2 linked regions of the Arabidopsis thaliana genome follow. The protein of the gene in region 1 interacts with the protein of each later gene in a pairwise test. Each region holds a gene or a part of one and is shown in the gene's direction. Other genes may lie near its edges. The genes, in order: UBC35 and RGLG1.

What was found.
Region 2: the proteins of UBC35 (region 1) and RGLG1 interact in a two-hybrid assay, tested with the Arabidopsis thaliana proteins (one study listed by BioGRID).

The regions. Positions count from the first base shown.
Region 1 is NC_003070.9:29,648,127-29,653,111, forward strand, and holds UBC35 (ubiquitin-conjugating enzyme 35), read left to right. Parts: upstream 1-2,249; 5' UTR 2,250-2,462; coding exon 2,463-2,498; intron 2,499-2,596; coding exon 2,597-2,624; exon of another isoform or gene 2,625-2,802; coding exon 2,803-2,889; coding exon of another isoform or gene 2,890-2,892; intron 2,893-3,189; coding exon 3,190-3,248; intron 3,249-3,521; coding exon 3,522-3,563; intron 3,564-3,645; coding exon 3,646-3,719; coding exon of another isoform or gene 3,720-3,732; exon of another isoform or gene 3,733-3,822; coding exon 3,823-3,920; intron 3,921-4,039; coding exon 4,040-4,077; 3' UTR 4,078-4,485; downstream 4,486-4,985. Other genes in the region: AT1G78880 (Ubiquitin-specific protease family C19-related protein), read right to left, coding at 4,942-4,985. UniProt on the Arabidopsis thaliana protein: Catalyzes the synthesis of non-canonical poly-ubiquitin chains that are linked through 'Lys-63'. This type of poly-ubiquitination does not lead to protein degradation by the proteasome. Mediates transcriptional activation of target genes.
Region 2 is NC_003074.8:240,037-246,064, forward strand, and holds RGLG1 (RING domain ligase1), read left to right. Parts: upstream 1-1,702; 5' UTR 1,703-2,025; exon of another isoform or gene 2,026-2,542; intron 2,543-2,639; 5' UTR 2,640-2,697; coding exon 2,698-3,123; intron 3,124-3,217; coding exon 3,218-3,302; intron 3,303-3,376; coding exon 3,377-3,517; intron 3,518-3,601; coding exon 3,602-3,715; intron 3,716-3,823; coding exon 3,824-3,921; intron 3,922-4,012; coding exon 4,013-4,092; intron 4,093-4,206; coding exon 4,207-4,312; intron 4,313-4,403; coding exon 4,404-4,531; intron 4,532-4,631; coding exon 4,632-4,785; intron 4,786-4,888; coding exon 4,889-5,026; 3' UTR 5,027-5,248; downstream 5,249-6,028. Other genes in the region: GLCAK (glucuronokinase G), read left to right, coding at 88-276, 359-475, 641-801, 925-1,162; AT3G01660 (S-adenosyl-L-methionine-dependent methyltransferases superfamily protein), read left to right, coding at 5,496-6,011. UniProt on the Arabidopsis thaliana protein: E3 ubiquitin-protein ligase that mediates the formation of 'Lys-63'-linked ubiquitin chains. Regulates apical dominance by acting on the auxin transport proteins abundance.

The DNA.
Region 1 (4,985 bases):
GAAAATCGCCACTCCTTCCAAACTGAGGACCATACAACGTTATACCAACGGATCCGATAAGCTGCGTTATCTACACTTGGTTATTTTAAAATTAATTAACGTTTTAATGAGTTTGCGAAATATGGATGCGAAACAGATCCTCATTTTCATTTTCTTCAGTTGCTATGTTCCAATTTTTAGTTTTCTGAGTTTGATCACCAATTTTTTTGAGAAGTTGTTAAAGTATTTGTTTCCTTTTATGATTAATCTCAATCCACCTTTTTTTTGTCTTTGATATATTAGATCACTGTTAAAGGTGTGCGACCTGCAACAGAGTGGTCTTTTCCCGATCAAGTTAACATTTAATAACAACGTACAAAATGTATGACATAAAAAAGTGTTTTGACTAACGACTAACAGCGATACGACTAACAGTGGTTCAACTTGTGCTTGGCTTCGACTAACAGACGCTTCGACGAAATGTGAAGTAAAAACAATAATTGTTCAAGTAATATTCATACTTCGCCTAAAACGGTTTTTATATAAGCTTTTTTTAAATAAAGTGTGATTTTTGCACTTGCCTTTAAATGCGGAATTGCGGAAGTGTTTTCAAGTGTTACGAATAACTATGTTTTGACTAAAATGTTAGGAGTAATTTGCCTGACTAGTTTAGGAGTACGTGTTCGTGATTTAATATTGTGTTCAACAGTATAACTAATGTACTTCACTAAGTATGCTTTGTTTAGAAGTATGCTTGGAAATATATGTTTCGACTTTTAAGTAAATTGATCTAGTGTTTTACGTGTGTTCGGATTTAGATATAAGTTTTTTGAGTAAGTGCTTCGACTAAATTTTGGCTAAAGGGATTTTGTTGAATTAATTAAGTGTTAATGTAATTTTAAAGACGTAAGAAAATACACATTTATTAGTCGTGTGTGTATCTTGTTAAATGTGTTTTTTTTTGGTTGAATGGTTCAGTGCTACGACTTTGACTATTTTTTGTTGAAAATAATTTGGTGTTTACTAAGTATGTTTCAACTATTTTAATTTTTTAGTTGTGAGTTTTAATTAAAAGTTCCGCATCATATCTTTTTTTAAGAAAATATTTTTTAGTTACTGAGTGTTTTACTACTAAATGATATAGTGTTTATGAGTGTGTTATTAAAGTAGAATTAAAAAGTTTACACTAGAAAGTGTTTCGAGTGATGAGTATTTCGACTAAAAAGTGCTTCAATTATTATTGATAGTAGTTGATTTTTGGAAAGGATTGAAAACTAACCTGGCGGAAATTGCAATTCATGTTTATGCTTTAGCTCTCTAAGTAGTGGATATTGTTGTTCGCTTGTTGAAGCTTTGTCCTCCTCATCAGAATTAATGATCCCTCGCAAAAAATATTATATCTTGATTAAAAACATTATTAGGACTATTATCAAATAAATAATAACGAAAATAAAAGATTCATGGTTTAAATTAAGGCATTGCACCGTATTCATTTGTCAACATATAAGTTTTAAACGAAGTATCAACAATACGAATAACATAGAAATCAAAATCCAACATGGGTCAAAACAAAGTACTAAGAGCCAAGAAGAGTAATTCCGACTAAAAACACCCAAACAATACAACAAGAAAGAAACTGGAAATTAAAGTACATAGAGACAGAAAGGTAATGTACAAAGGTTTTACATAGACACAGTTTTCGCTTTTCACCGTAAAGTAAAGTACAAAGTAACTCACCGATGATTGGCTGAGTTTTGCCGCCGAAGATGAAGAGAGAATCAGACAACAAGAGACAAAAAGAGAATAGGTTTCTATCTACATGTCTTGGTTTGGATTAGATAATTTAGGAGTAACGAGGACTGTGTTGTGTGTATTACTATATATAGACAAGTTTTCTTTACCGTTGGGTAAAATCACTAACGGATAGTTTTCGAATTCTCAGCTTTTGACGTCATAGTTACCGTTCTGACATCCTCAACGGCTAACTCACAGTGAACCTACTACCTAGTTCGCTACTTTAAAGTCGTATTATTCTTGATGGGCTTTCGAGATCGGCCCAACCCAATGAAATGTTTAAAGTTTTACAAGTCCAATATAAAATGACAAGCTTAATGGATAAACTGGATTTGGTTAAGGTCCATTATAATAAATATGGGCCTCACATATAAATGGCTTTGATGGACCAATAAGCCCGGAAATCTGAGAAAATCTATGTAATATTCGAAAACTGTTGGGAAAAATCAATAAATAAGTAGAACTTTAGGGAGGGTTAGCAATAAACAAAGGTTGCGGGAAAATACGTAAAATAAAAGCTAATATATTATTTGATTCGTCCAGAGTTGAATTTTAAAGATAGAGAAAGGAAATCGAATTAAAATCTTCGTCAGATTCGAGAGACGACGACGACGAACTTGTTGTTCTCGATTATCATCAGCAGCTCCCTTCAAAAACCCTAACTCTCTGAGCTCGATCGACAAGTGATAATGGCCAACAGTAATTTGCCGCGAAGAATCATCAAGGTTTGTTTTCCAATCTCGATTTGATTCCTTGGACAAACTCTACCGATCTCTGTTTCTATCGGAGTCTCTTAACTTTTGTTTTCCTTGCGATCTGATAGGAAACTCAACGTCTGCTCAGTGAACCGGGTAAAAAACTCTTTAATTCGTCCTGCCTTGTTGAGTTATAGTGTTGATTTTGAGATGATAATATCAATTTTGATGGTTGAATTGTGGATCCGAGACGTGACCGTCCATGGAGTTTGGAATTTGGTTGTAGAGTAAGATTTAAATCTGATTATAACTTCGATTGATTTGATTGGTGCAGCTCCCGGTATAAGTGCCTCTCCATCTGAGGATAATATGCGGTATTTCAACGTTATGATTCTTGGTCCTACACAATCACCTTATGAAGGTAGTCAAATAGTCTTCTGATAATCCGAGTATTAGATTTTTTGCTTTGAGAGTACAACATGTTTATGTCAAGCAATGATTGCTAATGCTCTTGTATCTTGTTTGTGACACTAGCTAGTGTTAAGTATAGTCCTGAATATACATACACAACTGTACTTAGTTTTATTATTAACACATTCGATTTGTTCTGTTGCGTACCAGATGCTAAGTTTAAAACTTGTACCTTTTTTCTTTTTCTCCTTTGAATATGCTCTCTCTTAAAATTTTAACTTTTTACTGAGTGATAGATTCCATCTTATAGGAGGAGTTTTCAAGTTGGAGCTCTTTTTGCCTGAAGAATACCCTATGGCAGCTCCCAAGGTAAGTCATTTGACTATAAGTAGTGTCAGCTATAAGAATCTAGTTATTAAGCGAATATATTGGTTTGGTATTTATTTGTACACATACCAAATGGTCTCTGAGATCCATGATTCTGGTTGGATTATGAGTGACGTACATGTAATGTCATATTTCTTGTCATTGTTTCTCTTTTCATATGGATATAGTTCTTGAACGTTTGATTTTTTGTAAATGGTTTGTGTAGAGCATTTCTCTATTCTCTAATGACTCTATTAATGATTTAATCTGTTACAGGTTAGGTTTCTCACAAAGATATACCATCCTAACATTGACAAGGTCTGTTCCAAATCCCTCCTCTTTTTCCTTTGTCATCCACACAACCAAAGACATGCTCCTAAACTTGTGTCTATTTGAGCAGCTTGGAAGAATCTGTCTTGATATTCTCAAGGACAAATGGAGCCCTGCACTACAAATACGAACAGTGCTCTTAAGGTATATGAGCTGATTACATAAGATTATTTCCTGCTAAAAACTATTGGTTTCTTGGAGCTTGACTTCTGCTCCTATTTTATTAACGTGTGCAATCCTTATAAAGTATTCAAGCTCTTCTGAGTGCACCAAACCCAGATGATCCGCTTTCTGAGAACATTGCTAAGCACTGGAAGAGTAATGAGGCAGAAGCTGTGGATACAGGTGATGTGATTTTAACACTGAATTTAAACTTGTTACAATATCTTTCTACTCTTTCTTTCTTTCTTTCTTTCTAAACGTTGTGTTAGTATCTCACATCCTTGTGAACTATATCTGTGCAGCTAAGGAATGGACCCGTCTTTATGCAAGCGGCGCATGATAAATTGGAGGGTGAAAACTGAAAAGATCTCTTTCATCCAAATAACATTACATTTGCTGAAATCTATCTCAACATCAAAGTTATAAGAAAGCTTATATTTTGCTGGTTATTTCCCCCCGCCACTGCTCTGTAATCTCTCTTAATCACACTGTATCATTACTCCTAGGATCAATACTCGTTCTTATATTTGAAGTTCGTCAAAGTCTTTTGAGTAAAAAATATCTATATTTCTCTAGTGTCTAAGCTCTGTAAATTCTAAGTTTCATCAAAATCCATAGGTTACTTACTGATCATTGTTGGAATTTACTTCTTTTACAAATTGGCAGTGATGTAGAGAGAGTTTGTAATTTATATACATTTCCCCGATGAGGTGATTCTGTTGTATTTTTGGAAAGAGTTGATCTCAGGAAGAAACAATAAGGAGGAAATAATAAATACAATCCACATGCAACGGGAACATTCCAAACTAAAAAGATAATCCCCATTACATTAGATCACAAATTAGGTCGAAAAAAGAATAACTAGCAGAGCTTTACAAATTACAAACCATAAGGCAAAGAAGAGTGCCCACAACACAAATTAAGTTGTAGAAAAGAAATCCACATCCATCATCATCATTATCATCCTAATGTAATAATAACTCGATATAAAAAATAAGAAATATTAAAAGAGAGAAGAAAAAGAAAACACTACCATAAACCACCAACCAAAGGAATCATCATCAGTAGAGAGCGAAAAGGCCACCAACCAAGAACACATTTCAGATTTCATGAAAAATATTAATGAAGCCGAAGTGGAGCAGTGAAATTTTCGTCTACCAACCGTGGAAGAAGAAGGAAAAGAAAGACTTCCACTACTACTGCATCAGACAGGAATTGCATCTACGTTCGATGAATCTTCGCATCTCA
Region 2 (6,028 bases), on another chromosome or scaffold:
TGATCATTTTCCTTCCCCTTTCTCTCTATGTTTTTTTCTTTTCTCTGCCACCAACGCTTATCTTTTCAACTTTGATGCTCCTTCCAGACAGGGCTTTCGGGTTCTAGTGCCATCGTATCCGCTGCCCTTAACTGCCTTCTCGACTTCTACAATGTCAGGCATTTGATCAAAGTACAAGTCCGCCCTAACATTGTTCTCAGTGCTGAGAAAGAACTTGGCATTGTTGCTGGTCTTCAGGACAGGGTTGCTCAGGTCTATGGTGGTCTTGTTCACATGGTCAGTGTCTCCCCTCCTATCTCATACATTGCCGTTGGTTCCATCGGTTTTATGACTTTTTATCATCTTCTTCACTTTGCAGGATTTTAGCAAGGAGCACATGGATAAATTGGGGCATGGGATTTACACTCCTATGGATATCAGTCTCCTCCCTCCTCTGCATCTCATCTATGCTGAGAATCCGAGCGACTCAGGGAAGGTACTTACACTTATTCAATGATTCTGGTTTATGCATCAATCAAGTGAAATTCCTCAAAAAGCATTTATGACACTAGAACTCAGATCTTTGGGGCATAACTCAGTAGAATTTAGAAGTATCTCTCTGTTAGATGTTTCATAATATTAGCATTGCCTTCTAATGCAGGTACATAGTATGGTTCGGCAAAGATGGTTAGACGGTGATGAGTTTATAATCTCATCAATGAAAGAAGTCGGAAGTCTAGCAGAAGAAGGTCGAACTGCATTACTCAACAAGGACCATTCCAAACTTGTGGAACTCATGAACCTTAATTTCGACATTCGGAGGTAAATATAATTCCAGACAAAACTCGAACCTATACACAACTTAAGATTAAACTCCAAGCTCACATGATGTTGAAATAGATGGGAATACACACATATAATAGTGATGTCTTTTTTTCCCGATAGGCGGATGTTTGGGGATGAATGCTTAGGAGCAATGAACATAGAGATGGTGGAAGTAGCAAGGAGGGTTGGTGCAGCCTCAAAGTTCACTGGAAGTGGAGGAGCAGTGGTGGTTTTCTGCCCTGAAGGTCCATCTCAGGTGAAACTTCTGGAAGAAGAATGCAGGAAAGCGGGATTTACGCTTCAGCCGGTAAAAATTGCGCCTTCATGTTTGAATGATTCTGACATTCAGACCTTATGAAAGCCTTGATCAAGTCTTCTTATTCACACGATAGAGCCATTTTCCAGAGAAATAAACATGTGAGCTTTAATTGGGTGGTTGTTCTGTTTCTTTTTCTTGCCCATTTTTGTTGTTTGTTCCTTGGCTTATACTAATATGTTTGTTTTGTTTCTTTTTCCACATTAAGGTCCAATTTTTTATATTATATTAAAAGAACTAAAGAACAGATGATCAAAATTGAAGTAGTAATGATATTTATTTGCCATATTTGTGCTCTTTTTTGTTTTGTTGAAACTGTATATACAGAAGTTGGCAGATATAGTGTGGAGAAAAAAAAAGAAATATAGAATTCAGAGATCATTATTTGGCAGAAAATGAAGAGAAATCGTGCCAGACATGTTCAATTTCTAATCTATACTATTACTAGTACCCTACTTGATGAAATCTGAACAAAACATGTGTGTGTTTCAGAATCACGAATTCGAATTGCTACTAGTGTTTTTTACAATCTTAATGGAAATAAAATGGTTATTTGATCGAGTAATAAATATTAAAATTTTGAAATCGGTCTGGACTTGGACTTGGACTTGGACATGGTGGGCCAATAATAAACAAATCCAACTAATCTTTTCCAGATTTCATGATTGAAACGTAAAGTGAAAGATTAAACAAGAGAAAAAAGGTTAGATAGCTTTCTGAACAAAAGGAGAGAATTTGGGGATATAGATAGAATCCGCCATTTAAGATCCCTTCCCTTTGACCTGTTGAGTGTTGACAACCTGAAAAGAAACAAAAAAAGAAGAAGACCGCTTCATCTTCTCAACACCACCTCTGTCTTATTGCTCTCTTTTCTTCTTCGTCGACTTCTCTCACACATACAAAAGGTTTGGGATTTTTTTTGGTAGAATCTTTTTAAGTTATCTATCGAAATCAGTTTGATCTGTTTTGTTTTTCCCTCTTCTCTTCTGGGTTGTTGGTGAATAAATCTACTTTTCATCTTAATTAGGACAAATCTCTCTAATTAAAACGCCTCAGATTTTGTCTTCAGTTGTTTTGTTTTAAACCCTAAGTTACTTGTAAGTTAAATGAAATCTACAATTCTTAATTTCTTGTTTCCAAAATTGTGAAAAAATCCAAACATATATAGAATAGACACGTAACGGCTCAAAGTCGGTAATTGGAGGTAACGTGATTGAATCTTCTTCATCAATCATAAATCTTCTCTCTTAAGAATTAAGACGCCGCCTCATTACACCTGTTCCATAATCATCGTCAATATATTCATTCTGCAAAACTATTCTTCTTCTTCTTTCAAAGTCGTAATTGCTCTCTCTCACCCCTAGGTTCTTAAGTCATACCCATTTTCAAGGACACCTTAGAAAGTTTCGAGTTTTCTATTAGGTAATTGCATGTTGAATCTGTTACGTTCTTCTTGTGATTCCCCTTTTTTCTGGCCCAAAGAGGATAAGATTCTAAAAATCTGAATCTTTGTATGCAGGTGTATTGATCTTGAAGCCTTAAAGTTTGTGTCTTTTTGTTAATTTGAATAAAGTTTGATGGGAGGAGGGAATTCCAAAGAAGAGTCGTCATCACCATCTTCATCATCATGGGCTTCTCATCAAAGTTATCCTCAATATGGACCTGATAGCTACAACTATCCTCCTCCACCCACTTATGCTCCCGCTCCATCTCCTGCTCCTGCTCCTGCTCCGGTGCCTGCTCCATCTCCGGCTTCCAGTTATGGCCCTCAGTATAGTCAAGAGGGTTATGCATCACAGCCTAATAATCCTCCACCACCCACTTATGCTCCCGCTCCATCTCCGGCTTCCAGTTATGGCCATCAGTATAGTCAAGAGGGCTATGCATCAGCAGCATCACAGCCTAATTATCCTCCACCTCCTTCACAGAGTCAAGTTGCTGACAGGAAGAAATTTGATCGGAGGTATTCCAAAATATCGGATAACTACTCTTCTTTACTGCAGGTTAGTTTAAGACAATGCATATGCTATACACTTGGATTTTCCCCTCAAAGGTTCTTTGGAAACTGAATCTAGCATGTGTCTGAATTGATTCCAGGTGTCCGAGGCTCTAGGCCGTGCAGGTCTTGAATCTTCTAATCTAATCGTTGGTATTGATTTCACCAAGAGCAATGAATGGACAGGTTTGTTATATTATTCTTATTCTTACGTTTTGAATGTAAAGGAGAAGCCAAACTAATTGGTTTTGGTACTGCAGGGGCCAAGTCCTTCAATAGGAAAAGCTTGCATCACTTGAGCAATACCCCGAATCCATACGAGCAAGCAATTACTATCATTGGAAGAACCTTAGCCGCCTTTGACGAGGATAACTTAATTCCTTGTTATGGTTTTGGAGACGGTATGCACTGTTTTCTCTCTTCTCGATTCTCATAAGAATGTATATCAATCGGATCATCATTGACTTGCTTTCATCTCTTTGCAGCATCAACTCATGATCAAGACGTGTTTAGTTTCTATCCAGAGGGAAGATTCTGTAATGGATTTGAGGAAGTATTGGCTCGTTATAGAGAAATTGTACCTCAGCTTAAGCTCGCAGGTTTATTTCCTGCTCTGACCTGCACTGGCCAATTCTATATCTCCTTGTGAAACGCAAGTTATAAACTTAAAACTGTGTTTTTTTTTCCTGCGAACTTATGTATTTCAGGACCAACTTCTTTTGCCCCGATCATTGAAATGGCAATGACAGTGGTTGAGCAGAGTAGTGGCCAATATCATGTGTTAGTGATTATAGCTGATGGCCAGGTACTGATTAATATTTTGACTGCCTAAGCTGTGTATGATCTTCTGGTTTTGTGTCTAGGGATATCAAAGTGGACCCATTTTGTTGTTTCAGGTCACAAGAAGTGTCGATACCGAACACGGGCGGCTAAGTCCGCAAGAACAGAAGACAGTAGATGCAATTGTGAAAGCAAGGTGCGAATATTTCAATCTTTTGACTAATGTTTCTTCCATTTTAAAGTTCTTTACTTTGAGTGTAATGTTATAAAGTGTTATGGTATGTAATCAGTTTCATCCTCTCTATTACAGTACCCTTCCTTTGTCAATAGTCTTAGTTGGGGTCGGGGATGGACCATGGGACATGATGCAGGAATTTGATGATAACATACCTGCCCGAGCTTTCGATAACTTCCAGGTAAGCTTCTTTTTTTCATATCATGACATTGAAGATTGCTTCTTTTCTTCAGTTTGGAACCATTTTTCTAACATGTTTGCTCTGTTTCTAGTTTGTGAACTTCACAGAGATCATGTCAAAGAACAAAGACCAGTCTCGGAAGGAGACAGAGTTTGCGCTGTCTGCTCTCATGGAGATCCCTCCACAGTACAAAGCAACGATAGAGCTTAACCTTTTAGGGTAAGGGACCCAAATCAAAACTCTGATAGGTGTAGCTGCGAGAAACTGCTATATTGTTAAACAAAATGCTCACCTTTCTCTTTCCCTTACATTTTTGCAGGGTAAGAAATGGAAATATCCCACAGAGAATCCCACTTCCGCCACCGGTGCAGAGTGGATCATCATTCTCTAGTTCCCGGATACCGAATTTTGAACCGAGTGTACCTCCTTATCCATTTGAGAGCAAGCAAATGAGTAGTGCAGACGATATTCAGGTAATTAGTAGAAACTTAGGAATCTGTTTGAAATGTTAAGTGAAATAAGAGCTTTGGAACTTTTTGTTGTTAAACTCGTTTGTGTTATTTTCCCCTTGAACAGCTATGTCCGATATGTCTGAGCAACCCGAAAAACATGGCGTTTGGTTGTGGCCATCAGACTTGTTGTGAATGCGGACCAGATCTTAAAGTGTGTCCTATTTGTCGTGCGCCGATCCAGACCAGAATCAAGCTTTACTAACAACACCATTGACATGCAGCTTTGACCAGCCCAAATCCCATTTCTTCCAGAGATTTTCAGATCTTTCTGTAGAAAATTAAAGTGTTCTTTTGTTCTTTGATTGAATTCCTAAACTTTATCTTGTTCATAAAATTTCTTTGATTGGATTGTAAGAATTATGTATTTGTCTGTTGGCTTTCTTTGATTTTTCAAGATTCGATTAAACCAAAGTTGATTGCTTAAACACTTTAATTTTGATTTGTTTTGTCGACATAAGCAATGAGAAATAAATGGATGAATAGCCCAATAGAAGCCCATTAGCCTGAAATTGGGCTACAAGCAAACATACCAAATAAATAGTAGGGAAGAGCAGAAATAATCACACCACTCATCAGTTATCCATTCCTTTCTTTTTACATAAATTTTGTCACTTTTTCTACAAACGATTCTTCGCTTCTGTGAAATTTGATAAAGCGAAAGTTTTTTTCTTATGGATTCTCTTCGATTCAACCTCCAACAATCTCCATTTCAATTGAAACCTAGAATTCTCCGACCAAGAATCACCAACATATCAAACCGAATCGATGAAACCGATCCTCGACCATCATCCTCGGCCGGTAGGATCCAAAGGTTAGTACTTAACAACGAAGGTCGGACCAAACTAAACGCCGATCCTGACCGTGAATTCTATTCATATCCACGGTTCGTGAACCACGTAGATGATAGTTTCATATCCTCCTTAACCGAACTATACAGAAACCGGTTGAGACCCGGTTCGACTGTACTTGACTTGATGAGCTCATGGGTCAGCCATCTTCCAGAAGAAGTGAAGTACGAGAAAGTAGTAGGGCATGGTCTTAACGCACAGGAGCTTGCTCGTAACCCTAGACTCGATTACTTCTTCGTCAAGGATCTTAATGAAGATCAGAAGTTCGAGTTCGAAGACAAGTATTTCGACGCTGTTTTGTGTTCTGTTGGTGTACAGTATCTACAACAACCCGAAAAGGTACGTTACCGTAAACC